4 linked regions of the Ovis aries genome follow. The protein of the gene in region 2 binds, or shares a complex with, the protein of the main gene of each other region. Links are inferred from orthologs where the notes say so. Each region holds a gene or a part of one and is shown on either strand. Other genes may lie near its edges.

Region 1 (7,522 bases), on a different chromosome or scaffold from region 2:
ATTTTATTGATATGATTCACATACTGTAAAATTCACCCTTTTAAACTGTACAATTCAGTGGTTTTCATTACATCCACAAGGTTGTGAAACCATCATAACTCTGTAATTCCAAGACATTTTCATCATCCAACACACCTGTTGGCAGTCACTCCCCATTTCCCCCTCTGCTCACCCCCCGGCAACCACTAATTTGCTTTCTGTCTCTATGAATTTGCCCAGTGTAGACATCTCACAGATACACCCAGATGATATGTGGCCTGGATTGTCTGAGTTCCTTCACTTCAGGTCAGTTCAGTTCAGTCGCTCAGTTGTGTCCGACTCTTTGCGACCCCATGAGTTGCAGCACGCGAGGCCTCCCTGTCCATCACCAACTCCCGGAGTTCACTCAGACTCAAGTCTATCGAGTCAGTGATGCCATCCAGCCATCTCATTCTCTGTCATCCCCTTCTCCTCCTGCCCCCAGTCCCTCCAGGCATCAGAGTCTTTTCCAATGAGTCAACTCTTCTCATGAGGTGTCCAAAGTACTGGAGTTTCAGCTTCAGCATCATTCCTTCCAAAGAAATCCCAGGGCTGATCTCGTTCAGATTGGACTGGTTGGATCTCCTTGCAGTCCAAGGGACTCTCAAGAGTCTTCTCCAACACCACAGTTCAAACGCATCAATTCTTCGGCGCTCAGCCTTCTTCACAGTCCAACTCTCACACCCATACATGACCACTGGAAAAACCATAGCCTTGACTAGACAGACCTTTGTTGGCAAAGTAATGTCTCTGCTTTTGAATATGCTATCTAGGTTGGTCATAGCTTTTCTTCCAAGGAGTAAGCATCTTTTAATTTCATGGCTGCAGTCACCATCTGCAGTGATTTTGGAGCCCCCCAAAATAAAGTCTGACACTGTTTCCACTGTTTCCCCATCTACTTGCCATGAAGTGATGCGACCAGATGCCATGATCTTTGTTTTCTGAATGTTGAGCTTTAAGCCAACTTTTTCATGCCATGATCTTCGTTTTCTCAATGTTGAGCTTTAAGCCAACTTTTTCACTCTCCACTTTCACTTTCATCAAGAGGCTTTTTAGTTCCTCTTCACTTTCTGCCATAAGGGTGGTGTCATCTGCATATCTGAGGTTATTGATATTTCTCCTGGCAATCTTGATTGCAGCTTGTGCTTCTTCCAGCCCAGCGTGTCTCATGACGTACCCTGCATAGAAGTTAAATAAGCAGGGTGACAATATACAGCCTTGACGTACTCCTTTTCCTATTTGGAATCAGTCTGTTGTTCCATGTCCAGTTCTAACTGTTGATTCCTGACCTGCATATAGGTTTCTTAAGAGGCAGGTCGGGTGGTCTGGTATTCCCATCTTTTCAGAATTTTCCACAGTTCATTGTGATCCACACAGTCAGCGGCTTTGGCATAGTCAATAAAGCAGAAACAGATGTTTTTCTGGAACTCTCTTGCTTTTTCGATGATCCAGTGGATGTTGGTAATTTGATCTCTGGTTCACTTAGCATGTTTTCAAGGTTTATCTGTGTGATAGCATAGATCAGTACTTCACTCCTTTTTACAACTGGACAATGTTCCATTGTATGGATATGCCGCATTGCTTTATCTGGTCTTCAGTTTATGAATATTTGGGTTGCTTTCCATTTGGGGGCGATTATGAGTGATGCTGCCATAACATCTGTGTACAAGTTTTTGTGTAAACATAGTTTTCAGTTCTCTTAGGTATGTATGAAGGAGTGGAATTTTTAGGTCCTATTTAACTTTCATTTATAAATATAGTAACTCTATTTAACTTTCAGAGGAACCACCAATCTGTTTCCCACTACAACTGCACTATTTTACATCCCTACCAGCAATGTATGAGAGCCCCAATGTCTCCAAATCCTCATCAAGCTTTTTTATTAGTTTATCATCATTTTGCCTCACATTAATATTGCAGCAGGTCTAAAAACTACTTAAATTAAAACAAAAAATTTCTAAATGACACTCATATATTTAAAAAATTACCCCAAGGTCATTTTCTAATTATTCCTGGCAGAGAATATTCAGTATTGCAGCTGCCTTGGCTGCTGCTGCTGCTGCTAAGTCGCTTCAGTCCTGTCCGACTCTGCGACCCATAGACGGCAGCCCACCAGGCTTCCCCGTCCCTGGGATTCTCCAGGCAAGAAGACTGGAGTAGGTTGCCATTTCCTTCTCCAATGCATGAAAGTGAAAAGTGAGAGTGAAGTCGCTCAGTCGTGTCCGACCGTTAGCGCCCCATGGACTAGGGAGGTATAATGCTCTATCACACAGTTTCTTACAGAATCCCGGGACGAAAAATCGCTTTGGAACAAATTCCTGTCAGAGAGCTGCCTGAAGTAGGCACAAGAGTAGCATCTGAATAGCTCTCTATCTACGTCTTTTGGCTCGCTCAGGATTCCACTTGCGAGCCACCTAGCCTTGTTGGAGTCTGCCCCCGCCGCCCCCGTGTGCGCAGGCGCAAACTCTCAGCCCGGCCTCCCTCCGGCCCCGCCTCCAGACCCGCCCCCCGCCGACACGCCCCCCTCCTTCGCGCTCTGGGGCTAAGGGGAAGGGAGATGAATGTTCAAGAGGATGTGCGGCCAATGCGCGAGCGTCTCGGAAGCGGCGCTCCGCACTGGCAGAGTAAGTCTGATGACGTAGCCACTCTCCAATCGGCATCCTGGGGGCGGGACTAAAGTCGGGCAGGGCAGGGCCGGAGGAGGAGACCGCTGGGTGGAAGCACGTGACCGCGGTCTGGAGCCGGAACTAGGTCTGGCTACAAGCTCCCCCAGCACCTAGAGCTGCGATGGTAAGTGAGGACGCATGCGCGGAGTTACGCGCCGCGCCGGCGGTTCCTTACCCCTGTCCCCCAATCTCTTTGGTTGCGGGGTCCTGAGCGTGCCCTCCGGCCTCACCTCCTATTCTCCCTGGGACTGGAAGGAAATGGAGAAGGGAGGGGTGGTGACGTAGAAGGCCAAGGAGAAGTCGCTGGGAGGGTGTGTAGAAGCTGGGGACTAGTCTGAGGGGGAGGCGCAGGCCACAGGTGCGTTTGGGGAGGGGGCCCTTGGGGTAGCAAAGGTGACGTGTGGAAAGCTGGTGGCGCCCGGGCGGAGGAGAGGACTGACGGAGGCTCAGGAGCATCAGTGTTGAAGGCCGTGTAGAGGGAAGAGGGTCTGGAAGGGCCCTGGCTGGGTAAAGAGGCCTGGAGCGGGGGCAGGGGGCACTGTCAAGAGAGGCACTCTGGTTGCCCAAGGGCCATCCTTTCGGCCTACTGCTCACTAATTGCATCTTTACCCACCAGACTTCGGCACTGACTCAGGGGCTGGAGCGAATCCCCGACCAGCTTGGCTACCTGGTGCTGAGTGAAGGCGCGGTGCTGGCGGTGCGTTCTGGAAACGGGAGGGGGGGTGCTCCAAGTACACATGACTCTAGGATGCCTTCTAATGTTGCCCTGTTTGGCCCGATTGGTCTCTGTTCTTGTCTTTCCCTGGTATCACGCCTGGCGTGTAGGAATTAAATCAATTAATCAATCTCTGGACTCTCAGTCTTGTAACTATCCTGAGGTAAAAGAGGTTTACTGACTTTACCAAAGTCAAGCAAGTTACAGGTTTGTTGATAACTGACAATCCCCAAGTTACTCTTGAGTATGTCTTTATTTGGTATTTATTGAAGAGGCTTGGTATTTTGTTCTGTAGTACAATACAGTGTCAGCTCTAGAAGTTTTCAATCTAGCTAGAGACAAGGCTTAAGGCTAAAAGTTCAAAGTAGTGCATGTGGTTAACGCAGCTGAAGGAGTCCAGAAAGTGAAGGATTCAGCCCTTCATACTATAACTTGTGTTTTGGCAAGGAACCTTCCTTGGACGAGGTAAGAATTCATCTGGGCTTAAAAGATGGATGGATGACAGGAAAGAAAGAATATTCAGAGTTGGGAGGTGGACATTTTGCAGGAGTGTAACACCAGCCTATCTGAATTGGTGATGGGGTTATGTTGAAAAGATTTGGAAACATTTGGGGGAAGAAGAGGATATGGTGAGGAAAGGTCCGATTGTGAAGGACTTTCAAGGCTAGGTTAACACATTTGGATTAATCTTGAAGGGTTTTTGAACAGAAACAAGCTGATGAAGTGATTGAGTAGCATTGTTCTGTTAGGCGTAAAGGTAAGACAGAAGGGGCAGGATTCAAAAGCGGGGATGCTGTTGCCAAAATGTAGGTATGAAACCTCTGGTTGCAATGAGAAGCAAGGAGAGAAGGGGTTTTTAAAGGAAGAATTGGTTTGTCTTTGTAATGACTAGAGTTCAGTAATAAAGGGGATACTTTTCTATCCTGTAAGACTTTGACCTCAAGCCTAGAATGATGGTGCCTTAACCAGCAGGGACTTAAGAAAGGAAGTTGACTGGAGAGGGGGAGAGATAGGGGGGATTTTGATAGTGCAGCTTTAAACACTAAGTTTGATATAGAATAATAGGGTAAACTCCAGGAGTTAGTGATGGACAGGGAGGCCTGGCATGCTGCGGTCCATGGGGTTGCAAAGAGTTAGACACAACTGAGCAACTGAACTGAACTGAATAGCCGTTAAATAGATAATGCCAGGAGCTAATCTGAGCATCTTGCCCCAGTACTCTTGTGACACTCACAAGCACGTAAGATAGGTACTGATGTCCCCAGTTTACAGATGAGGAAACAGGTATAGAATCCAGCAGGAGGGCCACCTTGAGGAGGTAAGAAGTTGAGATCATTACCAGAAAAGAGGAAGCCCAGGCCACTGTGACGTCATTATTCAAGGGCCAGGTAGTCCGAAGGGGTTCAGAGAGAAAAGGGATGTTTATGTTTCAGGTTCTGCAGACAGGGTGACAAATGAGAAATGGGAAAAGATGGAGCCTGGGACTCTAGCTGTGGTGGGTGGGCACTAATCTGTAAGAATGTGATTTTTTTCAAATAAGTGGAGACAGGGAGAGAAATGAAGATTCAGGGATTGGGGAAACAGGGTCAGTAATGGACAGAAATGGATGAGAGTTCCTACTTCCTCAGGGAAGCCCAGTATTTTGGAACAAGATGGCATCAAGAGGGGCAACAATATCATAGGAAAGTTTTAAGTTTTTCCAATACTAGGGGTGATGTTGCAGTGTTGGAAAGTGGAGACAGGTTACACAGAAGGGTTCTTGGAGTTGCTTCCCAGTCTGTCCCTGATTCCTGCCCCCCTCCCTCTGTGTGCAGTCATCCGGGGATCTGGAGAATGACGAGCAGGCTGCCAGCGCCATCTCTGAGCTCGTCAGCACGGCCTGCGGTTTCCGGCTGCACCAAGGCATGAGCGTACCCTTCAAGCGTCTGTCGGGTGAGCCCCGGCCTCTGGTAGTGGGGAAGGGGGGTGGGGTGCTGCTCCCCAAGGCCACTCTTCTCAGGGAAAGACACCTGTCTCCTACCAGCTGCCCACCATCTCCTCTGGAATCCTTGTCTTCCCTGTGGTATTTACCCCTGTATCAGAACTATGAGAAAAGCAAGAGAAGGGAGGGGATTTAATGGAGACCTCCCATCTTCTAATCTCTGAGCTTTGACCTGTTGAATTCCTTTGGCTTTGGATCCTAGCCAGTTTGTGTGCGACCCCCACTGAGGCCCCCATAACCCACTAACTCTCTGCTCCCTTCCCTCTCCCGGGCTGGGGGAAGGTGCGTCTCCCCTCCAGTGGTCTTTGGAGAACACACGCTGCTTGTGACCGTGTCGGGACAGAGGGTGTTTGTGGTGAAGAGGCAGAACCGAGGCCGGGAGCCCATTGACGTATGAGCCTGCCCGAGGGCGAGGGGCAGAGGAGGAACCTCTGTGCTGAGAAAGATGGGAACCTCCACGGCCTCTCTCTTGGTGCCACTAGAACTAAAGCTGTCTGCTCACCGGCTTCCCCACCCTGACCTGGAAGGGCAGAGGCTCGGGGACTTTGTACTCTGTTAAGGACAGTGAAGGTGAGGGGACCTCCCTTCTTTTCACCCTGCCTAATAAACATAAGTGTGATGTTCCTGGACCTGGGGATGTGTTGTGTGTATTGGGGGAGGAGAGTCATACCCCATGTGTCTTTCAGCTTCCGGGCCCTCAGCCCAGAGGCGTGGGGTGGACAGATAAAACTGGAAATCAGAAGAAAAAAAACAAGTGGGAAGGGAGCTATTTGGTGTACAGGCTGGAGGGAATCTTTCTGAGCCCTTAGGTCTCTGCCGCTGCCACCAACACACAAGTAACAGTCTTTTTCTCCCTCCTGAACAGGCATTTAATAGTCTTATTTCAGTTGGAAGCAGTAGTTGGAGAATAAGTTACAGGGACAGACAGACCAAAAAAAAAAACAAAACCCAAATCAAAAATCCCACACAACTTAAAGTGCTTCAGGCTGCAGACGTAAACATGAGGACGAGGGGAGGCCACCTAGCTCTCTCCCCTGACCTGAGACAGGAGGGTCGTGTCATTGTTGGGTCCCTTTACCATCACCACCCTCTGATCTCAGCCCTGCGGGTGGGAGGGAGGGAGGGAATGTCAGAGGCGGGGAAGACAACGTAAGAGGAACAAGGAAAACACTTTGTAAACTTAGAACCAGGGTGCAAGGCGGGGGGCAGGGGAGCTCCTGGAGCCACTGCCCTGGCCAAGGGGTGGGGCCAGCCCCCCCAGGAAGTCCAGGAAATACTGTCGGCTTCACACTGCAGCCATCCCCGGCCATTTCACAGCTTCTTCCCTCGTCCCTCATCAGTAGACACAGACAGGCGGCTCTGTGGGGGGCCCCCTCACCCTTGGTGGGAGGCTCCCCGGGGAGGCACAGCCTGCAGGGAGCACCCGCGCTGGGGGCTGTCCATTTCCCGGAGTGTGAGAGGGAGGCGGCCGGATGGTTTACTTGACCGGCTCCACCACCAGGACCTTGCACTCGCGTTTGGCGATCTTGTCCAGAGAGAGCACAGCCTTGTCCGGGGGCAGGTAGAGGGGGCGGCCGACAGGGGAGGCCACAGGGGGAGTGATGGCCCGGCGCTCCATCACACTGCCCGACCTGGAGGAAAGTGGAGGCTGTGGGCTCTGGCCGGACCCCAGGGTCCCGTCCTCTCCCTTCCCGATCCTGGCCTCTACCAAGCCCTCGGGGTCCTCCCCATGCAGTTCCATACCTCATGAGGTGGCTGCGGGAGGGCTGTTGGTGGGAGAAGGACTGAGAGCGGCCGAGGCTGGCCTGGTGCCTCTCCACCAAGTCCCGGACGGCAGGGCTGCTGGGGCTGCTCTTGCGCGAGAGGGGTCGGGCCTCGGGTGGCGGGTGGGACACGCTGGCAGTGAACTGCAGCTTCAGCTTCATGTGCTGGCTCAGCTGGGGTGGGGAGACACAGATCACCGGCCAGCTCGGCTGCCAGGCCCCCGACCCCCTTTCAGGTCATCTTCCCCACGTGACAGGCCGAAGTCAGATCTAAAGCCCACCTTCCCTCCACCCGGCTTTGTAGCACCCACCCATTTATGCTTCAGCATAGAAGCCAGCGGCCCTGACCCCTCCCACCCCGATGCTAGGCCTCACCCAG
Region 2 (7,687 bases):
AGCAGCAGCTTCCGCTCCTCTCGGTCCTAGGAGAGACCACAGGGGAGACATCAGCCTCTCCTCTTAGCCCAGCTCTGACCTTTAGCCGCCAAAAATATTTCTATTAGGAACATCCCAAGTGCCCAACTGTACGGAAGCGTCCGCTCCAGGACCGAGATCCTGCTTGCCTTTGGGAGCTAGGCTGGTGGTGGTCTAGTATGAGCTAAAGTGGAACCAAGCAGTCCTAGGGGCCCTGAAAAGATGGAAAGAGGCACAACGCAGGTATTTAGTCATGGCCTTGCAACTTCAGGAAATAGCCCAGCACCTGGTAGAGAAAGGATACTGGAGGCTGGAAACCAGAGAAGGTGGAAAATACCAAAGCAGTGGGGTCTAGATGGGACACTGATATAAGTCAGGAGCCCGAGTATGGCCCTTCTGATCCCCCAGACCAGATCCTCCCTGGTCAGACTGTCTGCTCCCAGAGGCCCTGTGAGGCCAGACAAGGCCTTGGGCCCCAAGGGAAAGCAAGCTCAACCTCTCGATAGCCATTTCTCATATTATCTCAGGAGTCCCAGCTGCAGGCTCTGGGTCCTGCCATCCAAGAGTCCCTTCTGAGGGTAGGCCCCTTCTACTCTCAGGCGTTCACTCTCCTTTCCTCTTTGCGTGGGATTCCCACAACCTAAATCGGTGCTCCCAGAGTGCCTTTACGGAGCTGCTCCTGCCCTCGCCAAGCCGCCACACCTTTGTGAACGTGGCTTCCTTCGTGTCAGCAGTCCTGTTTCTGCCGGCCTGTGCCAATCACCACAACCCCTGAACTGACCTGAGACCAAAGCAAGTCTCCCGGGTCCTATATAATGCTATGTGTTATTTCTCCTCAGCTTGTTTTAGTCCCTTGATCTAATCTACCGCAATCTTTTTGAATACAACCCTGCCTTGAGCCCATCAGCTGTAAATCCCTGCTGGCTTTGTGTCAGCTGCAAAATGGATAAGCCATCATGCTGCGTATCCAAAGTATAAAGAACAAGGGTACCCAGGATGATGCCAGGGACAAGGGGCCACCCTGGCTAGAGCTGACTCATCAGCCTTCAGTGCCAGACCACCAGACTCCTTAGTGCTCCATTCCAGGCCCATCTCAGTTCCTAGTACAGTCTTTCACACTTGCAGGCTCCCAGCTCCCCTGCCAACAGCTCCTCAACTCTCCTTACAGAACACACTTCCTCCTGCCCCAACCTAGGCAAGGTCAGTCCTTTCACATTACTCTTCTTTCTCAAGCCTAGGCTGCCCATGTCCTTTGTTCCCAACAGCGTGAGACAGAAGCTCTAGGCTCCTGCCTCATCAGCTCCCAACTCCTTTAAACACCCCCTGACCCACCTAAAACACAGGCTAAGTATTAAAGAACTTGAAAGACAAACTGTGTGCCAAAGATTAAACTATCTCTAAGGAAAGTTGGCTCCATAATAAAGCCTGAGTTGCTTTCTATATGTCCATCTTTTCCCCAGCCCCACTTCAGACAGATGCTCCTGCAGGACAAGGCCACTTCTCCCCTATCCGGGGTCCTTCAAGAACAAGGCTGTTATGGGTTTCAGTGGTAAAGAATCCACCTATCAACACAGGAGAGACAGGTTCGACTCCTGATCTGGGAAGATCCCACTTGCCACAGAGCAACTAAGCCTATGCGCCACAACTACTGAGCCTGTGCTCTAGAGCCCAGGAGGGCTCCGTGCAACTACTGAGCCCAAGTGCTGTAACTACTGAAGCTGGCATGCCCTAGGGCCAGTGCTCTCCAGCAAGAGAAGCCACCACAACGAAAAGCCCGCACACCGCAACTTAGATGCTGCTCACCACGACTAGAGAGAAGCCCTCACGGCAGTGAAGACCCAGCACAGCCAAACAAAAGGAAAAGAACTAGATTCTCTTCCTGAGCCCTGAACTCATTGAAGAGGCCATGCTACTACCGTTAGAGTGGACAAATAACATCGCCCCCACCCCCAAAAGGGTGAATGTAAACACGGGAGGGTTTTTCACACCAAGATTTGTCCTAAAGTCAGCATCAACCTGGGAGGAGTTTCACCATCTTCTCTTCATAGACATGTATGTGGTCTGCCTATGACTAGCCACCTGGTCTGTGGGCACAGCCAGAAGACACTGCTTAGCACAATGGATAAAGACAGGCCTTGGCAGCAGAACACCTTGCTTGTAGCACTTCCCAGTTTTGTGTGTGCATGTGTGTGTCTCCTCAATCGTTCAGTCGTGTTTGACTCTTGAGACCCCATGGACTGTAGCCCACCAGGCTCCTCTGTCCATGAAATTTTCCAGGCAAGAATACTGGAGTGGGTTGCCATTTCCTGCTCCAGGGGATCTTCCTGACCCAGGGACTGAACCTGCATTTCTCACATCTCCTGCAATGGCAGGTGGATTCTTTACCACTGTGCCACCTGGGAAGCCCTCTGTTTTATAAGCTTGGCTAAATCACAGCCTCTCTCAACTTTTTCTTCACCTTTAAATAGACATAACTAGAACCTATATAACAGATGTTGGACAAGAGTTAAGCAAGATAACTGTAAAAGATCTTTGAAAACTGTAACATAATGTACCTTTCTTTTTATTATTATAACCAAGAGTCCAATATGAGAATGGGAGAGAGGCCTGCCCAAGACCTGAGAGAGTGGACAGTGAATGGTTATGGCTTATAGACTAGGCAAGCAGACCTCCACCTGAGGCCTCAAATCACCCAGGACAGGGATTTTCCTGGCAGTCCAGTGTTAAGACTTTGCCTTCTCGGGAAGGAGGTTCAATCCCTGGTCAGGGAGCTAAAATCTCACATGCCTTTTGGCCAAAAAGCCAAAACATAAAACAGAAGCAATACAGTAACAAGTTCAATAAAGAATTTTAAAATGGTCCATGGTCAAAAAAAAAAAAAAAAAAAAATCACCCAGGACTGATCAAGCACCATCTCTGGGAGCTAGGACCAGAAGTGAAACCCATCAAGGGGAAGGTGTAGATTCAGAAAAGTAGAAATTCCAAAAGCTGGTATCCTTTCTCACAAAAAGTTAACCTTTGACTCATTCTGTGCAAGAGTCCATTGTTATACTTTAGGGGACAATTTCCCACTAGGCCATAGCTTTCCTAGTAGAAACGAGTATTATCTTCAATTTCTTACCAGAGGTGAAGTGTGAAGTACTGCCTGGATGGCATCCCTAAGATAAGGCATATATGTTCACTGGGTGTTTGGAGACTTAGTAAGATCCAGGGGCCACCCGTGCCTCCCATACAAATGACTTTTTCCCAAGCTTAAGTCTTTGACCCAAAATAGATTCATGTGAGTCACTGGGGAAAGACCTACTTCCCCTATACCAGTGACATAATCCATTTCTGTGACCATCTACTTCTCTAGACTGTGAACTACTTGTTGAAATCTTTCTACAGTTTTCCTGTCAATATGTTTTGAAATGTACAATCCAGGCTCAGTGGCAACCAAGACAGCAAGTGAGACTTAGGACTTAGAGCAAACTTGGGACTTCTTGAAAAGGTCTTGCCCTCCTCAAAAAGGTTAGGCAGGCAGGGCAGGGATTAAAGTGTAGCAAGACGTGAGACTACACCAAGGGGAAGAGGCAGAATTTAAAACTGTACAGGCCGCCCCAACCTAACCCTTTCTGCCAAGGAATCAGATCTACAGCTGAATACCCAGAACACCCCTCTAGGTACAGGAGCCCGCAGGCCCCAGGCAGGGACTGCACTGAGGCAGGCCAAAGTGAGCTCCCATCCCACCTCTCTTTCCCCGCCATCTAGCCAAAGCTAAACCCGTTTTGTTGCCTTCCAAATTCCCACCGTCTCAATGCCCTCACTGTGTCTATTAAATCCTTCACTGATCAGCTCAAATGACACCAACTTCCAGAGGCCTTCCCTGACTCCAAACCAGCAGTGACCTTCCTTCTTCAACCCCAAGGATTCAGAGTATACAAAGATTTCTGATTCATATCGGGGCAACATAATTCAAGAGCCTCAGCTTACCCACCTCTACAATGGGTTCACAAAGCCCATTAATACAAGCATAGAGAAGGCACAAGAAGCTGGGAAGGGAGTTTTTCCCAGAGACGGAGGCTGAGGACCCTTTAAGTTGTAAACGTCTGAAAGTAGGGGAAGGGGCAGGAGCGAGCGGGACAGGCGGCCGCCTGCACATCTTAACGTGGGGGGGTGTGCAGAAAGAACGCGGGCTTTAAAAGGAACAGGAGCCCGGCTGGCGTCTCCTCTGTAATCTGTCCCCTCCGGGCCTCCGTACTCAGTAAGCCCTGCAGTCCAGGTGACCCTCTTCTGCACGCTTTTCTCTGGGCCCCATGCCCCAGGATCTCAGCCCTCATTCCCGAGCCCCGCCCGCGGCGGCCGCACCTGGTCCGAGTCCTCGTTCTCGCTGCTATAGCAGCACCCCATGGCGGGGGTCGGGCCGGGCGCTCAGGCCGCGCCGAGGAGGGACGGCGTCCGTCACGAGCCCTTCCGGTCACATGACCGGCACCAGGATCCAGCAAGTAACCACCGCCCCCGTGCCTACCCCTTCCCGGAGCGGCTTCGCAGCCGTGGCTGCCGCCAGAACCCAAGCTTCCGGCCCCGCCCCTACCGCGTGATCATAGCCAGCCAATGGGAAGGCACACCCTGCGTGACAGGCCGTCAGACACGTGACGCAAGGAAAGGGAGGGGTGGGTCACATGACTTCAGCTTTTGCAGGTCTCAGCTGGAGACGTCCACTGCGGGGTGTAAAAGTTCTTGTGTGAAATGTATGAGTTCCCGAGGCCACCAGGCTATATTTGTGGGCTAGTGAGTGAATTTATACCAGTTGCGGTTATGAAATACTCTCCTGAATGACATTAGAAGGGCAAGTGGAATCCAGGCCCTACGCTCGAAGAGCGCAGTGTGGGTACACACCCATAGGGCCTAGTTGGCTGGCGCCAGGCCCGGGCGCACACAGCGGGTGTGGCACCCAACCTTGAGTAGGGCTCTGAGACTTACTGGAAGAAGGGACTTTATACCTTCACAAACTGAAGCAGAGTGGAGCTCAATCCTGGTGGCGGAGGTAGAGGCCACCTCACTGATTTCTTTGGCCAGAGGCATTTCTTTTCAATCCTGCCTTTTTTACATCAGAGCAATCTAACACACTTCACTTTCACTTTTCACTTTACTGCATTGGAGAAGGAAATGGCAACCCACTCCAGTGTTCTTCCCTGGAGAATCCCGGGGACGGGGGAGCCTGGTGGGCTGCCGTCTATGGGGTCCTACAGAGTCGGACACGACTGAAGTGACTTAGCAGCAGCAATCTAACACACAAAGCTCATAGTCAGTGGTTAGAACCGTTACACATCTTCCCTTGGACTCTGAACACAAGTCCAAGACTGTCGTGCAAGATCTTGCAGATCCTGCCTTTCCAACCACAGGGAAATACTTAGGAAGCTTGACCAGATTGACTTTCTGGTCTTTTCACCCATGGGCTGACACACTGTCTCCCCAACCTGGTCTGCTTGCCAAAAGTCCCGATGTTCATGGAGCACGCATTCTAGGGATCACGTTGTATTGTATTCTCTGTCCCTGTATCAGTCTCTTCTACCAAAGGTGAAGTTCCTGGGGACAGGGACAGGATCTGACTTTTTTCTGTGACTCGATCCTTAGCACTGGCTTAGAATTTGGAATTAATAAATTACAAGCTCCCAATCACCTTGGCTCACACCATAACCCATGTCTTGAATCAAGGGGTTGGAGGAAATGTCACCAAACCAAGTAGTTCTGTTATTCCCTCAAATCAAGGTCCTGGAGTTCTGTAAGTTCTTTGAGGGATCCTGAAGGGTTGGAGGCAACTCCAGCACTTTCTGGGGCTGGTAACTTGAACCACAGGTCTCAGGTAACAACAGCAGCCTCAGCATCAATAATTGAGAGCAAGTCCAGCCTGCCTTAGGGTTCTTCCTCACCCCAAGGACTCCCCCTCCTGTCCTATGCTCTGATCTTCCCAAGCAGGAGCCTGCAGCCCAGGTAAGCAGGGCCCTGGAATGTGGGTTCCCAAGCACACCAGTTCAGATTCACCATCACCCACGTACTTATGGGCTTCCCTTGTGGCTCAGCTGGTAAAGAATCTGCCTGCAATGCAGGAGACCTGGGTTTGATCCCTGGGTTGGGAAGATTCCCCTGGAGAAGGGAAAGGCTACCCACTCCAGTATTCTGGCCTGGAGAATTCCATTGACTGTATGGTCCATGGGGCCGCAGAGTCGGACACAACTGAGCAACTTTCACTTCACTTCAACTATCTATTAACCCCATTCATACATGCTTTTTAGTCACCTCCCTCCCTCAACTACCACCAGTGGCCTCAAAGGGGTAAAATGGTCCAGGGCACTGGAGAAGACAGGGTCCATGGGGATAGAGGGGTGGGTGTCTCGAGATGAGGGAGAGAAAAGAGGCTGAGTTAGGGGAAAGTGTGTGCTGTGTATCTATGTGACCGTGAAGGGAATTCTGAGAGAGGACAGAGGAGGGGAGTGCAGGAGAGGGGAGACAGAACTGGAGAATAAATATGCCAATCAAGGACCATTCTCACCTTCCAGGGAAATGCTGACAGAGGGAGAGTTCTGTGGTGGTAAGGATATCTCATCCTAACACACTATGGAGTATTTTGATGGCCTTTTACTGATGCAGAGCAGTGACAGTGAAGGAGTTCCTGACTACAAAGATGTGCTATTTTGCTACACAGTAATGGGTCAGAGACCAAGCAGGTGCTGGGTAAGGTGGCAGGAGAACTCAGACAGGAACTGGTGAAAGGGGTCCTGAAAAGGGAGACTACAGAGATGATACAAAACTGATGAAGGGAGCAAGGTGAAGATGAACCAGGGTCCAGAAGTGGGAAGAGATGGTTTGGGATTGGGTGCTGAACTTAGGTGGCATGCAATCCTTGAATGTCTATGGGCTTGGAATCAGACCAGCTTGGATTCAAATCCTAGTTCCTGTGTGATTCTGGGCAATGAACTTAGCCTTTCTGAGCCATGGTGTGTAAAATACGGGGATAATTGCCACTTGTAAGGGCTACACAAATGACAGGCAAATGACGTGTGGGTTTCGCTCCCTTCCTCCACCCCAGGGCCCAGGTAGGGACCATGTCCCCTGCCATCGCGCTGGCCTTCCTACCCCTGGTAGTGACATTGTTGGTGAGGTACCGGCATTACTTCCGACTCCTGGTTCGCACAGTCTTGCTCCGGAGCCTCCGAGATTGCCTGTCAGGGCTGCGGATGGAGGAGCGGGCCTTCAGCTATGTGCTCACCCATGCCCTGCCTGGGGACCCTGGTCACATCCTCACCACTCTGGACCACTGGAGCAGCCACTGCGAGTACCTGAGCCACATGGGGCCTGCCAAAGGTCAGTGTTTCCTAGCCTTCTGCTCCAGGAAGCACCTCCGAGATGGTGAAGGAAGATCCACAATCTGCCATTGTCTTACTGGGTGACTTGAGCATATTCTTGATCTTCAATGGGTCTCTTTTTTTCTCCTCTGGAAAGGAGGGAGCTGGGTAAAATTACTCATTCATCCAGTAAAATTTATCACCTGTTTTGTATCAGGCGTGTGCTAAGTGCTGGGGAAGAAAAAGGTAGAAGCCACAGGGATGAATCAGCCACAAAGGCTGGCCTCAAAGGGGGCATAATACAGGGGAATAAACATCTCAGCACATAATCCATAACCTTGTAA
Region 3 (7,025 bases), on a different chromosome or scaffold from region 2:
GAAGAAACACAAGCTGGAATCAAGATTGCTGGGAGAAATATCAATAACCTCAGATATGCAGATGATACCACCCTTATGGCAGAAAGTGAAGAGGAGCTAAAAAGCCTCTTGATGAAAGTCAAAGAGGAGAGCGAAAAAGTTGGCTTAAAGCACAACATTCAGAAAACGAAGATCATGGCATTGGGTCCCATCACTTCATGGGAAATAGATGGGAAACAGTGGAAACAGTGTTAGGTTTTATTTTTGGGGGCTCCAAAATCACTGCAGATGGTGACTGCAGCCATGAAATTAAAAGACGCTTACTCCTTGGAAGAAAAGTTATGACCAACCTAGATAGTATATTCAAAAGCAGACATTACTTTGCCGACTAAGGTCCGTCTAGTCAAGGCTATGGTTTTTCCTGTGGTCATGTATGTATGTCAGAGTTGGACTGTGAAGAAGGCTGAGCGCCGAAGAACTGATGCTTTTGAACTGTGGTGCTGGCGAAGACTCTTGAGACTCCCTTGGACTGCAAGGAGATCCAACCAGTCCATTCCGAAGGAGATCAACCCTGGGATTTCTTTGGAAGGAATGATGCTAAAGCTGAAACTCCAGTACTTTGGCCACCTCATGCGAAGAGTTGACTTATTGGAAAAGACTCTGACGCTGGGAGGGATTGGGGGCAGGAGCAGAAGGGGACGACCGAGGATGAGATGGCTGGATGGCATCACTGACCCGATGGACGTGAGTCTGAGTGAACTCCGGGAGTTGGTGATGGACAGGGAGGCCTGTCGTGCTGCGATTCATGGAGTTGCAAAAAGTCGGACACGACTGAGCGACTGAACTGAACTGAACTGAATTGAACTGTGTATCTAAAGCAGTTTCCCAGGTAGCTCAGTGATAAAGAATCTGGCTGCCAGTGTAGGAGATGCAGGTTCAAGCCCTGGGTCAGGAAGATCTGGAGGAGGGAATGGCAACCCACTCCAGTATTCTTGCTTGGGAAATCTCACGGACAGAGGAGCCTGGCGGGCTACAGTCCATAGGGTCACAGAGTCCAGAGTCAGATACGACTGAGTGACTGAACACAAACGCACGAGTAGCAAAGTCTTATCAACAAAATAAAACGGCAACCAATGGAATGGTATAAAATATTTCAAAACATGTATCTGATAAGGGATTGATATTCATTCGTATATAAAGAACTACTACAACAACAACAATACACCTGATTAAAAAATGAGTAAAACACCTGAACAGACATATCTCCAGAGAAAACATACACATGGCCAATAAGCATATGAAAACAACATCACTAGCTATTAGAGAAATATAAATCAAAATTACAATGAGATATCATTCTACACCCATACAGATGGTTATTAATTTTAAAAAATGGAAATTAACTACTGATGAGGATGTGAAGAAATTAGAACTCTTGTGCATTTCTAGTGGTTGGGCAGGGGGGTGAAGAGGTGGGACGGGGGAGTGAAATTCCCTGGCAGTCCACCAGTTAGGACTTCATGCTTCCAATGAAAGGGGCACAGATTCAATCCCTAGTCAGAGAACTAAGATCCATCACGCAGCTTGGCACGATAGAAAAAAAAAAAAAAACCTGGCCATTTTTAGTGAGAATGTAAGTAAAGCAGTGGGGCGTTTTGGTGAAAAATATAGCAGTTCCTCAAAAACAAAGAATTATGATACAATGCAGGAATTCCACTTCTGGGTATATAAGGATAAATATTTTATGATTCCACTTATATGATATGTAGTCAAATTTAAAAAGAAAAAATTGCATAGTAGTGGCCAGGGGCTAAAGGGAGGAAGGAATGGGGGAATTACTGCCTAATGTCTACAGAGGTTCAGTTCAGCTCAGTTGCTCAATCGTGATCCGCTCTTTGCGATCCCATGGACTCATGCCGGGTTCAGTTGGGGGAGATAAAAAAAGTTCTGAATGTGAATGGTCATGGATGCACAACAATGTGAAGGTACTTAACACCACTGAACTACACTGATAATAATGGTTAAAATGGTATATTGTATGTTATGCATAACATAACACAATTTTTAAAAAAGTAATACACTTTAAAATTTTCCAGTTGCAGACTTTAAAAATACAAAATATATGTCCAGGCTCTTAACATACAAAATTGTGTTTAAGGAACTACTCAATCTTGTGGTAAAGTAAAAGTTCCAACTTACCATCTAGGAAATACCCCATTCTCTAAACTTGTTGTTTGGCTACGTCGCCAGCGTCGCTGGTAGCTGCTGGCACAACTTCGGGTAAGTGAGGAGTTTGGAGAGGGAAATGGTGTAATAAGCAAGCTGCTGAGAGATGCTGTCAAGTCAGAATAAGAACAAGTACAAAGTTAATAATAACTAAAAACAGGAACAAATTTCTTTTTAATAAATTTAAATGGTGACTCAAAATTTCCATTTTGCTGAATGAAGCTCTAAAATCTCCATTAAAAAAATATATATATCATTGTTGGAGCAAGGTCCCAGAAAAAAAAATCACATAATAAAAGTGATTCAGCAAGAGATCCTGATATCCTTTTGCCATCCTTTTTCCCACCCCACTCCAGAAGAAAATGCTATTTTGAAATAAATCTTTATTCCTTTGATGATGGCACTGTCTCCAAGCTTAGATGAACCTCTCTGCACAGGTTTATCTCAGAACACCTCATACAATAAACTAAGATTATTTTTCTCGCTAATCTCTCTATCATTAGAACCTGTGCTCTTTAAGGATATAATCTGAGTGGGTGTTTTTTTGTTTTTTCTTAAATCCTCAGAATGTTTCAATAAAACTTCGTCAGACAAATTTTGGAAGAGTAGATATCTCAAAGAAATATGTATAACACTGGTTCAAAATACCTAAGTTTCTCTGGGCAAGAGACAGTCTGACATTTTAAATCCAGTTAGGAGAAAACACGGAGAAGGCGACGGCACCCCACTCCAGTACTCTTGCCTGGAAAATCCCATGGATGGAGGAGCCTGGTAGGCTGCAGTCCATGGGGTCGCTAAGAGTCGGACACGACTGAAGCGACTTAGCAGCAGCAGGAGGGAGAAAACAGATGTAAGCAAATGTTTTTCTACTATGCTATTTAAGTAGTCTCTTGAGCAATATTATTTTTCTGACTGAGTGTGTATTCATCCAGGCCATGTTCCAACAGGCACATTTTTACTATTAAACATGAAAAAAAATTTAATTTAAAATACTTATCTCTGCTGTTTCTACAATTCTCTTGTTAGGCTAATATCAATACCAACAAACTGTACACATAAAATTAAATGATTAAAACAGATTAAAAAGGAAATCAATGTCAGGTAACAGTGATCTCATAAAAACCAGATTAACACATGAACCTATCATTACCAGAGCGTGCTATGCCACTGTCTCTGTCCTCATTCAGGTCTCTTCCAGGCATGTCCATTGGGTTGCTGTGAACTGTGAATCAAGACAAAAGTGTGACTTATAAAACACAGTGCTGTTCAGGTTGATGTTCCTTTTAAAATAGCAAACTAAATCATGCTCATCTCATTGCATTCCTTTATTTTTTTCAACAGCATGGCACAAACCCAACACCAAGAGCTATTCTTCAGTTGAACAAGCTTTGAGATCTATGTGTAAACAATCTGTGACATAATATATAAAGAAGCAAAGGGTGACTAAAATAAGCATTTTAGAAGCACATTCAATGACATGAATATATTCACAATATACTACTACATGATAAAAAGGCGAGATATTGACCAGTAAGAACAATGGCTGCTGAGGCTAAGTGATTGGCATATGATGGTTAATCTACTGTTCTGTCTATATAAATGTATGCTTTAAAGTTCTATAATAAAAATTAAGAAAACTGAACAGTATAATCCCAATTTCGTTTTAAAACAAACAAAAACTAAGGAGGTATTTCTGGTTGACAAGATGGCTAATACATATTTTTTGCCTATTTCTCGTATTTTCCAAATTTTCTATACTGTATATACATTGTTTATATTTCTAAGGAAAATACATACTAATTAAAACAGGAAGTTGGATACAACTTCCTGGATACAGAAGCATGAACACAGTCTACAATCATCTATTTAGTGATATCAATATAAAAAATTATAGTCAGAGATGCCTTTTATAGAATATAATGGTGCTTGTTCATCTGAATCTTAGCTCCAAGAGAAATCATTTTTATGGAATAGTGTAGATCAGAAATTGCACAACAACAGTATTTTCTGTGATTGATGAACTATATGATACAAAAGCTACTCAGCCATGGAAACAAGATAGTATCACATTAGAAATTCAACTGGTATTTTAAGAAATACTGTTCATACTATATTTTGGTTTAGGATTCTAAAGTTAAAATCATTATTACATAATAAGGCAAGAAATCACAAACTGAAATTTCATGTAAATGTCATTTCTACTCATAAGTTAGTTTCTGGAAACCTTAACAACATATTCAATAGAAAGATATTAAGTTCTTAACTGCACATCTTCCCCAAATGCATTTCTCTACTCTCTTGTTTCCACAGCATAACTATGAATTCTAGCCGCTGGGGCACACCAACTAGTCTACCCACACAGCACATGGCAAACCTGCAAAGAAAGAGGCGCTCCTGATCAGGCGGAGCGGACCCTGTTCAGAGAATGCCCGCCTGGGGCTGCAGAACTGTGAAAGACCTACATGGCAAAAACGTAAAATACATATGAAAGAGGGCTGTTAGAGAAGCCACAATGCGTCAGGAATAAAAGGTGAGCTAAGACAGCACAAAAGCAGACCAACAGATATGAATGGAAATCTTTAAACTAAGTAAGAATAATTCAAGCTGACTTCCTATTTTTGAAACAGGATGGTTTCCTTCTGGCCATGGCTTATGACACCATAACAATTTCATGCCTATTAAGTCCACATATAGTAATAAAATAAGCTTCCACTATGTAAGGTAAAATTATTTTATAAGCTTCCACTATATAAGGTAAAAATTATTTTAAATGTTCAATCCTTTCTCATCTAAAACAATATTTTTGAAGATTAAAAAAGCACAGTGATGTTATATATATAATTTGATATTTGCCAAATGAATTTATCCTTTAAAAAATCAATTTTAATATTATAGTACTATGTGACTAAAATTAAGAAGAAAACCACCTAAGCGCTTGGCTAAAAAAAATGTACACAACATAAAACAAAGGGCAAATAAAGAAAAGCGGTCTACTGACAAGTAAGTATGGATCTGATTTTTCTAAACTAGTGCTAAATTATAAATTAATGGGAGAAACCAGAGCTCCTAGAGCAGAGGTCAGCCACTATGGAAGCAGGAAAGCCAATGCAGCCTGTCAGGGCCAGACTCCCAGCTGCTCAAGGCAGTAGCTGCCGCACACTTGACCAAGAGAAGGCAAGAGTCTGAAGACCAAGAGAGAGTAACATTAGAGCCTGGAAGCAAGCACCTGAGTTACTTATTAGTTAGGGTTAGTCCAGATGGCCTGAAGAGCCACCTAGGAGGGTGATCCAGGACACAACTGACAGCTTTACTGTTTTAAAAAAGTGACAAATGTATTTTTAAATTGTTAACAGGTATTTTTCTATAACAAGAGTTTCTATAATTACAGTGAATGTGCAGCAATCCTTCCATGTTTCATTGTTCAGTTCTTCCTTCAACTTTTCCTATTTACCTCAAAACTTACCTGCTCTCTTTAATCTCACTCCTTACTCTTCCTTACTCTGAGTATATGACTTTGTCTCCTACAGTATGCGTATGTATATGTGAGTACACAAGAAGAATCACCATATGGGAACTCTCGTTTTCCTACACTGCTATCTCCAGACTTAATTCTTATTCATCCCTGCCTCCTTCCTGCCTGAGCGGTAATAATAGGTAACATCATTCAAGCCTTTCTTTGTGCGAGGCCTTAGTGAAAAATTCCAAGATGGGTCTCTCTCCCTCCCTTTCAAAGCTAATTCTAAATCAGCTAGACCCTTCAAAAATTTTACTTTACCAGTATCACCTCTATTTCCAACCTCATTTTCCTTGTAAACCTCCTTTTCCATCAACATTTAAATACTGTCAGAACTCTTCTCCCTTCTCCCCATATATCTAATCCTGTAGTTCAACAGTTCTTAAAATGTGGTCCAAGCACCCTCTTCGGGGACCCCTGAAACCCTTTCATGGGATTACATTTTATTACTGGTGTACTTCTCCCAACAAACTTCTCAACAACTCTTTATCCTCACTGACACACTCTTATTCTAGGTCCCCATTATGTGTCACTGGACTATTATAAGCAGTCTTCTAATATGGGTCTTTTCTCAATCCCACTGGCTCATCTGAGTCCTTTCCCAAAGCAATTAAGAATATTCTCTTGCAGATACAAATCTGATCTGATCATGTTTCTATATTCTGAAAACTCCTCTGTGGTGGCCTTGAGAATGCACCACAAAGCTCTCCAGCTATAAGAATGGAAATTGGCCAAGCACCCCAGCTGCTGTGTTTTTAAATCCATTGCCAGATTTGGGCAAGGTCACATACCCCATAGCCTGCTCCTAGTCAATGACTGAACACAGCAGGTATAACAAGGTAAAGCCCACTTTAGCAAGACATGGGTCACTTCTGACAACCATGTATAACTCAAAGACTTGTCCACAGCCTTATCAAACCTTCCCTGGACTAGTGTGGCATGCTAAAACATGTCCACTAAAGCTTTTATTCCTCTCCTTCAATTAAGGTCAAACTTACACCATAATCTGAGGGCTCTCTGAACCCTTCTCAGCTTCCTCTTCATTTCTCTCATGAAATAATAATAAATATTATTTATTAATACTAAAATCTGTGCATGTTTAATCTTATCTTGGGACCTGATAAAAATCAGGTGGAAGACCCAAACTAACACATTCTTCCTGGCACCCAACTGCTCAAAGAATAACTTGAAACTTCTCAGTGTGGCGGCCCACAATCTCCATCATGATCTGACTCTTGCTCATTTCTTTACTTCTTTTCACTTCCTTTAACTCATATTCACACCGTGCTCCACCCACACTGATGTA
Region 4 (7,025 bases), on a different chromosome or scaffold from region 2:
GGTCACCTCATTTATAAAAGACTTTCTTGTTTCATGCATCACTGCACTGGCAAAAACTTCCTGGACACAATTAAAAATTGGGATAATGGGAATTCTAGATTTTTATCGATGTATTTAATGCTTCATTAGGTTGTAACAACTATTTACAGCTTGCTGAAGGTAAAACATTTGTCTTGTCCTTATTTCTTTGTAAAGACTATTGTCCTTGCTAAATTTTAATGCCTCATCCTGTGTTTTCTATAGCATCCTGTGCACAGCTTCATCGCAACACTTCCTATGCCTGTTTTGTTTACTGAGCTGTATATTCTTTAATGACAGGTTTACTCTCTTATTTATAGAGGATGGGAGGAGAGTGGGAGGGAAGAAGGGAAGAAGGGAGGAAGGAAGGAGGCAGGCCCAGTGCCTAGCCACTCACCGCACAACTTGAAGGACTGCATTCACTCATATGCCATGTAAAATGCATCCTTGGAGCACAGAAATATGACATACACGTGTGCGGCTTAGAATTCTGCAATGTGGTACTTCTAGTGAACAGCACACATTTGCTACTCAATGCCAGGTACCAGCGATGAACTCTGACTGTCAAAGAACCCAGGAGGAAATTAAAGCCTTGAATGATAGACTGCATTCCTAGAAATGAAAAGCACGTGCTAGAACTGTGATGCCAATTACACAAAGATTAAATTAGGCTCCTGGATGAGGTTTATTTTCCAACTGACAACTTATATAAGGTAAAACAGTCTCCAAACTAGACAAGAAACACTTATTTATGTGGTTGAAAGAATGAATTAAATTGCAGTTTAAACATTTGAAAACAGTCTGGCAGGGGCAGGGAAACCTATGTAGTGCTCAAATTGTACTTTTAAAAATACTATTTTATTTATCCTCACGTATGAAAAAACGGATATACTACCATGCATACATACATACCAATATTGGAAACAGAATTCAATAATGAATCACACCTAAATTTACAAAGACTAAACAAACATTAAAAAAAACACTGATTGGTTATAGAAAGCAGAGTGGAAGAAAAAACCATTAGCTATCATCTTCATTTCCATTAAAGACCAGCACCCTCTAAGAAGAAACAAATTCGTTAGTGAGACTCACCTACAGTGCACAACAATATATACAAATGAAAGTTAGTGATTGTACTCGTTTCATTCACTTTTCCTAGGCCACTTTATCTTCCTCACACTCAATACAAAGAAAATAATATGAAGAAAAAATATGTCCCCATTATTCACAATAAAAAGAGTCTGCCTCATTCTGCAGGCCTGGCATATGGTATAAAAGGGAGCACTTCATGGCTCAAGGGGGTCAAAGTATCATTTTGATTCTGAGCCACCAAATAGGATCTCATGCGTATTTGGTGACTGGACTAACTCCACAGGAGCTGTGATAGACTGAACCATTTCTGTGGTATCCCCAGATCTCACCTACACAAAAAAAGATAACCATCAACCCATCCATAAATTCTATCTGTAAGGCTCTTTTTCTAGAGTAAAGTGGAAAAAGGGGGTCCTTGAGTACATGGATACAAGTGTCACTGTGGCCTAAAGATTGCTGGATTGATATTGTGTCTGATATGATGAAGAAAATTCCAGATTAAGAAACTTCCACAACTTGTCTCAATTCTTCAAATAATGGAGCAAGTTCCTTTTCCAGGCTGACAATTAGTCCTAAAGCAAAGAGATTAAGAAATTTGAACATTAGAAAAATGCTCATCAAAATTTATATACTAAAAAGTAAATGAGACATAGTTCATTTTCTATAACTATACTTAAAACAAACTACTGTGATTCTGAACAAAGTAATTGAAAACACACAGTTATTATGAAGTTTACTTTCATCTATTATTAATGTAAATAAATAAAACCATTATATGTATTAGAAGATGTAAAATGAATTATATATGTGTTATACTTTTGCTGGAGTTTTATGAAAAACTTTAATTCATCTATACCTCATTATTTCAAAATTTGCACCAATTCAAGAATAATACACATGATTTTTACAAAAAAAAAAAAAAGACCTTTTCCTGACCCAATTTTAATGAACTTTATCAAAAAACAGATAGATAGCAAAGAAATAATCAGATACTTATTATATAAATTCAGTAAAGCTAAGGCACAAATGGATATTTCAAAGGCAAAAATGTTTTAAAGATGCCTCACAGGACTATAAAACACACACTGAAAGAAGCAAGCTAATCTAGAAATCAGCACATCCAGCTTGTTAGTTTCCTAGGGTAGAAGGCTATATATCTTAAATACTGCTTGTTTTTTGCTCAACTAAAGATCTTCTTGTCTCACACAGCATTCAAAGCACCTGGGATTCACAAGGAAATGTTCTACGTACTAGAATACAATTCTGGAGATTATCATAATTTATAACAACTGATGATTTTATAGTATGATAGTGATTTACCACAACTGAGGTTTAACATATTTAAAATACCGACACCACTACTATCCTATACAAAGAGTTTTCACATACAGTATTTTACGGTTGAAAACATTTAGAAATGAAAGACACCCAACAGTTCATTAAATCTAAACCCCACATTTTAAACATGAGCAATCTAAATACAGGCTTCAGTGATACAGTCAGAAACAAAACTGGCTCAAATATCTTGGAAAGAAAAAAACAGAACAGAAAAGTAAAGCAGTGCTAACAGTGGTGAAACCTGGAGACAGACCTTTAAAAAATTCCACTTAAACTAAAACAGAGTAAAAAAAAAAATTGTAATTCAACTGAATACTGTTATGATTTTACACAAAAATAGCCAGTGAAGACCACTGGATATAATGAGATCTTACAATGCTCTCTAGAAAGTACAGCTTCCAAGTGTTAGCCCTCAAATTCTTCCACTTTGAAAAAAAATTGAGTATATTCATACTAGTCACACTCTTTAAATTCCCAAACACATTTACCTTGCCCACTATTGTTCAAAATTTTATAGATCGGTCCTTATGGACCTGAATTCATCTGTGATCATTTTTATGTTTTGTTTGGTTATTTTCTCCACTGATTTTTTTTTTTTTCTGGCTTTCTGAAACTGTTGTAATGTGAGCAAGATACTGTATTAAAGAGGTGAAAATAACATTTAATTTTCCTATCGTAAATGATCACTTATCTATACATCATCTCATCTGAACTAAAAAAATAATAGCATAAGATCAAGAAAGCAGTTCTTAGCTCCATTATACAGATATAAACAATACAATATTTGTTTATATAAATAATTGTTTATAATATATAAACAATTCAGAGAAGTTATATTTCCAGAAAACAAGGAATAGATGGTAGCGCTGGGCCATGCATTAAGGTTTTCTTACTCTAAATCTGTATTCATATCATATTAGACTGTTCAGATCCGGTATTATAAAGATTAAAAGCTGTATTTAAGGTAATTAAAACATACCTGTATTAGCATTGCTGCTGGCTATGAAACTCACTACCAAAGGTAAACGATTGAATTGAACCACCTAAAAAGAGAACAAGATCTAAAGTATAATGTTATATAGTGAAAAAGTGGTATAATTCAAATCAAATATCTTAATCTTTCTAAAAACTTTAAATGTGTAAGATACTAGCTTGACATCATGGTATTACGTCATGAAAGGTGAAAGAGCTGAAAATAAGTATTTCCGTAAAACAGACTTACTAATTATCTCTTAGAGACATTAATATCACTTAGTCTGGAAAGTTTCTAAGGTGGGGCTGTGTCTTCCTCATCTTTTTTTATCTTCTAAAGCCCTGCAAAGTGTCAATTACATAGTAGGGGCTCAATAAATATTTGATAATTAAGGAGCTAAAGGCATTATTTCTCAGTCATTCAAGTGGTTATAACGTCTCAATCTTTTGCCTCCTCTGTACCACTATAATTTAAATTAACTTACATTTAAGTTAACTTAAAATCAGCTATCTTTTTAAAAAATTTAGCTTCAACCTAACCTTTACTGACTAAATTAAAGGTCAGATGAGCTGGTTATCTTCTGCCTAATAGATACTAAAATACATAACCTTTAAAATAAAAAGTAACACATATGTATCATTGGTAGTGCATGACTTACACCCTGGGAAACTCTGCTCTATGGAAAGCAGTGTATGCTCAATTGCTCAATACTGGAGTGAGTTGCCATGTCCTACTCCAGGGGATCTTCCCGACCCAGGAACTGAAACAGTGTCTCTCATGTCTCCTGCACTGGCAGGCAGATTCTTTACTACTGTGAAGAAGTTACTGATTCATTCTAAAGAAAATACAGCTGGCGATCAAGAGATCTGTAGCAACTAATTTCTCTCCCACAAATAATAACCTCATTTATTTTATATATTTATATAATCAAGCCAAAAGATGGGATTAGTAGCAATAACAAATGTAAATAACTATCGTTTGACTTTCAAGGAAAATCCTGTATCTGTCACAACAACAACCACTGTGTCATTTGAGAAATCACAGTTGTTAAATAAGCTAAGGGCACCATCTACTGGAGGTATTAATAACAGTGACCTGACTTACCCTTTTGAGGATAATATATATTTTACTATTCAATCTTTTAATCTAATTGTTCATATTAATTCCTGAAGTAAAATGTGAAAAAAAATCACTACAGTTTAACATAACCAATTTGAAGGTGAAGATGTTAAAATTCCATCACTTTGGAAACCAAAATTTAGAATTATTAAAACAAACTATTCTACAAAGAAGAGAGAATAATAGTTGAAATCATCAGCAAACCATTTGATAATTATGAACTTACCTGGTAGGTGTTATAGTAACAGATGATACTTTTATTTTTTGAAAGTCCGAGTTTGCTCCCTTGGTCTGTCGCAAGGGCAAAAGTTGATAAGAAACCAGGTCTCAAAGCATGCTCTGGAGCATTATCATTGGCCACTGGAAATACAAGTGATTTAAGTAAAAATTATGTAGGATATACAGCGAGAAGACATTTAGAGTATTTAAAAAAAAAAAAACACATAAACTTGTAGAAAAAAAAAGCACAAGAGTTACGCTTCACAATGCTGAAGTTCATAATACTAATTGGGTCTCATCAGTTTAGGTGAGAAAAACCATTCAATCACAACTAAGGGAAAAAATACTGGTTCTCACAATTTTTCAAAAAATTTCAAATGAATACTAACCATCTCTATCTTCTTAATATCTAACTTAAAACAGGTTATGATTATCAGTACAATTAATAAGTTGAATATTCTGGTTAACTATGAGCTAAGTGAGAATATTGGAAAAAAGCTTTTAACCTTTGCTCTTACAAAACCCACAGAAGCATCATTTGTAGATGATGATAATTCTACACCTGGCCACTGATTTAAGTTTTTTATACTCACTGAAAGGTCTATGTGGAGTTGGTTGTACCGTAAGTGCTGAGCTTAAGGTTTTAACAGAGATCCTCAAAAAGAACACTGGAGCTGGAAAATCTGAGATTATTTTGTTCAAAGTCCTCGTTATGGAACTGAGAAAAGGAAGTGATTTGCCCATGGCTACCTATGTTCTGTGCTGGGTTAGGAAGCATACTGGATCACATATCAGAAGATGATGGGTTCTATGACCATCTTGTCACTGACTCATGAGCAACTTGGAGCTGACAATCTACTCTTTGCACTTGACCATTTTCATTAATAAAATGAAAGAACTATATTAGCTAACTTCTAAACTTTGATTGAATTCTAAAGTCTGAAATTATCTGACATATATGATAACCTCAGGTGGAGAATATATTGTAAACAAAATATGCAGAACATTATTTAGCCTTTCTGTCATATCACATATACTTAAAAAAAAAAAAAAGAGTTAAACCCTTAGGCAAAAAGAAACCTTTTCTTCCTTTTTTTTAGGTTAACCAACTTTTCTTCAAGCAAAAATTTTTGCTAGATTCTGGTTAACTAAAGTAACTGTGAAGTTAAAAGTTTTTCAAAATCTTATTTCCAATAAGGAAGAATAAGAAAGAGTAAACAAAACAATAAATTTATGTTAATTCAAATGTATGGCTGTTTATCCTAAAACCACCAGCAATACTGATGAAAAATATATGCTGGGGGAGTCCGTGGGTATAATATGTCTCGCTGCATATATGCTCATTCTCATGATTCAGATTTACTAGTTGTTTACATTATACATAAAATGTCTTTAATGGGAAACTGGGCCTTCAATAAATCCTTACTTAAACTCTGCATCCTATCATGAAATAGTTGAGATATAATTAGATTCCAACCTATCCTTCAACACACAACCTGAATGTACTGAAATGGGTTATTTTTTGCTTGCTTTCTCTATTACCCAAATATAAACACATTTGTATTCAAAAGCAAACATGGCACTGACATGTAATTGTGGCGTTTTACCTTTGATGACAGGCACTCCATCTCTATCTGACACAACAATAGCATGGAGCCCCTCAACACTAGAAAGGAAAAGTTGATGTATTATAAAACACTGTCTCAAAATATGTACCTTCAAAATCATAATGATAATTCTCATATAGATTTCTGAAAAACCATGAGAACTCAATCACGGATATAAGCTCCTATAACATGTTTGCAAAACTCTTCCACCATAAGAAGCAAAAAAGAGACCCAGTTGCTGCCTTCCCACAACTTGCAATCTAAAAGGAGAGTGGCTATCGTTCAGATTACCTCACACAAATCTAACACTACAACTGTGAGAACTGCCATTAAGAGATGTGTGGGGCTACGAGAGAGCTTATAAAAGGAGGGGTAGATTCAGATAGATGGGTCAGGGAGGGCTTCCCGGAGGAAGTGGTACCTCAGCTGAGACGTTATGGTAATAAGAAAAGTGGAGTGGGGAGATCACTGTAAGCTGAGAGAACAGGACAGAAAGAATGGAGGTCACAGGGCAATCCTCTGAACCACGCTTACACAAGAAGGAAACAGAATGGTCAAGACCACAGCTCTGAAGTAAGAAAGACCTGAGTTCCCGTTCAGGCTCTGGTGTTTACTGTTTATGCTACCTTGCATCAATTACAAAACCTCGCTAAGCC

Evidence for each region.
Region 1: LAMTOR1 (region 2) and LAMTOR4 share a complex: the UniProt entries of both Homo sapiens proteins name them as parts of the ragulator complex. The link is inferred for Ovis aries from reciprocal best matches to the Homo sapiens genes LAMTOR1 and LAMTOR4.
Region 3: LAMTOR1 (region 2) and FNIP1 share a complex: the UniProt entries of both Homo sapiens proteins name them as parts of the lysosomal folliculin complex. The link is inferred for Ovis aries from reciprocal best matches to the Homo sapiens genes LAMTOR1 and FNIP1.
Region 4: LAMTOR1 (region 2) and LAMTOR3 share a complex: the UniProt entries of both Homo sapiens proteins name them as parts of the ragulator complex. The link is inferred for Ovis aries from reciprocal best matches to the Homo sapiens genes LAMTOR1 and LAMTOR3.

What each region holds. Positions count from the first base shown.
Region 1 is NC_056077.1:36,678,967-36,686,488, reverse strand, and holds LAMTOR4 (ragulator complex protein LAMTOR4), read left to right. Parts: upstream 1-2,750; 5' UTR 2,751-2,805; coding exon 2,806-2,808; intron 2,809-3,300; coding exon 3,301-3,381; intron 3,382-5,213; coding exon 5,214-5,516; 3' UTR 5,517-5,679; coding exon of another isoform or gene 5,680-5,777; 3' UTR 5,778-6,009; downstream 6,010-7,522. Other genes in the region: TRAPPC14 (trafficking protein particle complex subunit 14), read right to left, coding at 6,858-7,011, 7,124-7,317. UniProt on the Homo sapiens protein: As part of the Ragulator complex it is involved in amino acid sensing and activation of mTORC1, a signaling complex promoting cell growth in response to growth factors, energy levels, and amino acids.
Region 2 is NC_056068.1:50,457,698-50,465,384, forward strand, and holds the start of LAMTOR1 (ragulator complex protein LAMTOR1), read right to left. Parts: upstream 4,481-7,687; 5' UTR 4,408-4,480; coding exon 4,366-4,407; intron 27-4,365; coding exon 1-26. Other genes in the region: TOMT (transmembrane O-methyltransferase), read left to right, coding at 7,104-7,362. UniProt on the Homo sapiens protein: Key component of the Ragulator complex, a multiprotein complex involved in amino acid sensing and activation of mTORC1, a signaling complex promoting cell growth in response to growth factors, energy levels, and amino acids.
Region 3 is NC_056058.1:20,550,546-20,557,570, reverse strand, and holds part of FNIP1 (folliculin-interacting protein 1), read right to left. Parts: intron 4,664-7,025; coding exon 4,580-4,663; intron 3,428-4,579; coding exon 3,356-3,427; intron 2,315-3,355; coding exon 2,179-2,314; intron 1-2,178. UniProt on the Homo sapiens protein: Binding partner of the GTPase-activating protein FLCN: involved in the cellular response to amino acid availability by regulating the non-canonical mTORC1 signaling cascade controlling the MiT/TFE factors TFEB and TFE3.
Region 4 is NC_056059.1:25,126,861-25,133,885, reverse strand, and holds the end of LAMTOR3 (ragulator complex protein LAMTOR3), read right to left. Parts: intron 6,429-7,025; coding exon 6,370-6,428; intron 4,904-6,369; coding exon 4,770-4,903; intron 3,495-4,769; coding exon 3,431-3,494; intron 1,686-3,430; coding exon 1,612-1,685; 3' UTR 685-1,611; downstream 1-684. UniProt on the Homo sapiens protein: As part of the Ragulator complex it is involved in amino acid sensing and activation of mTORC1, a signaling complex promoting cell growth in response to growth factors, energy levels, and amino acids.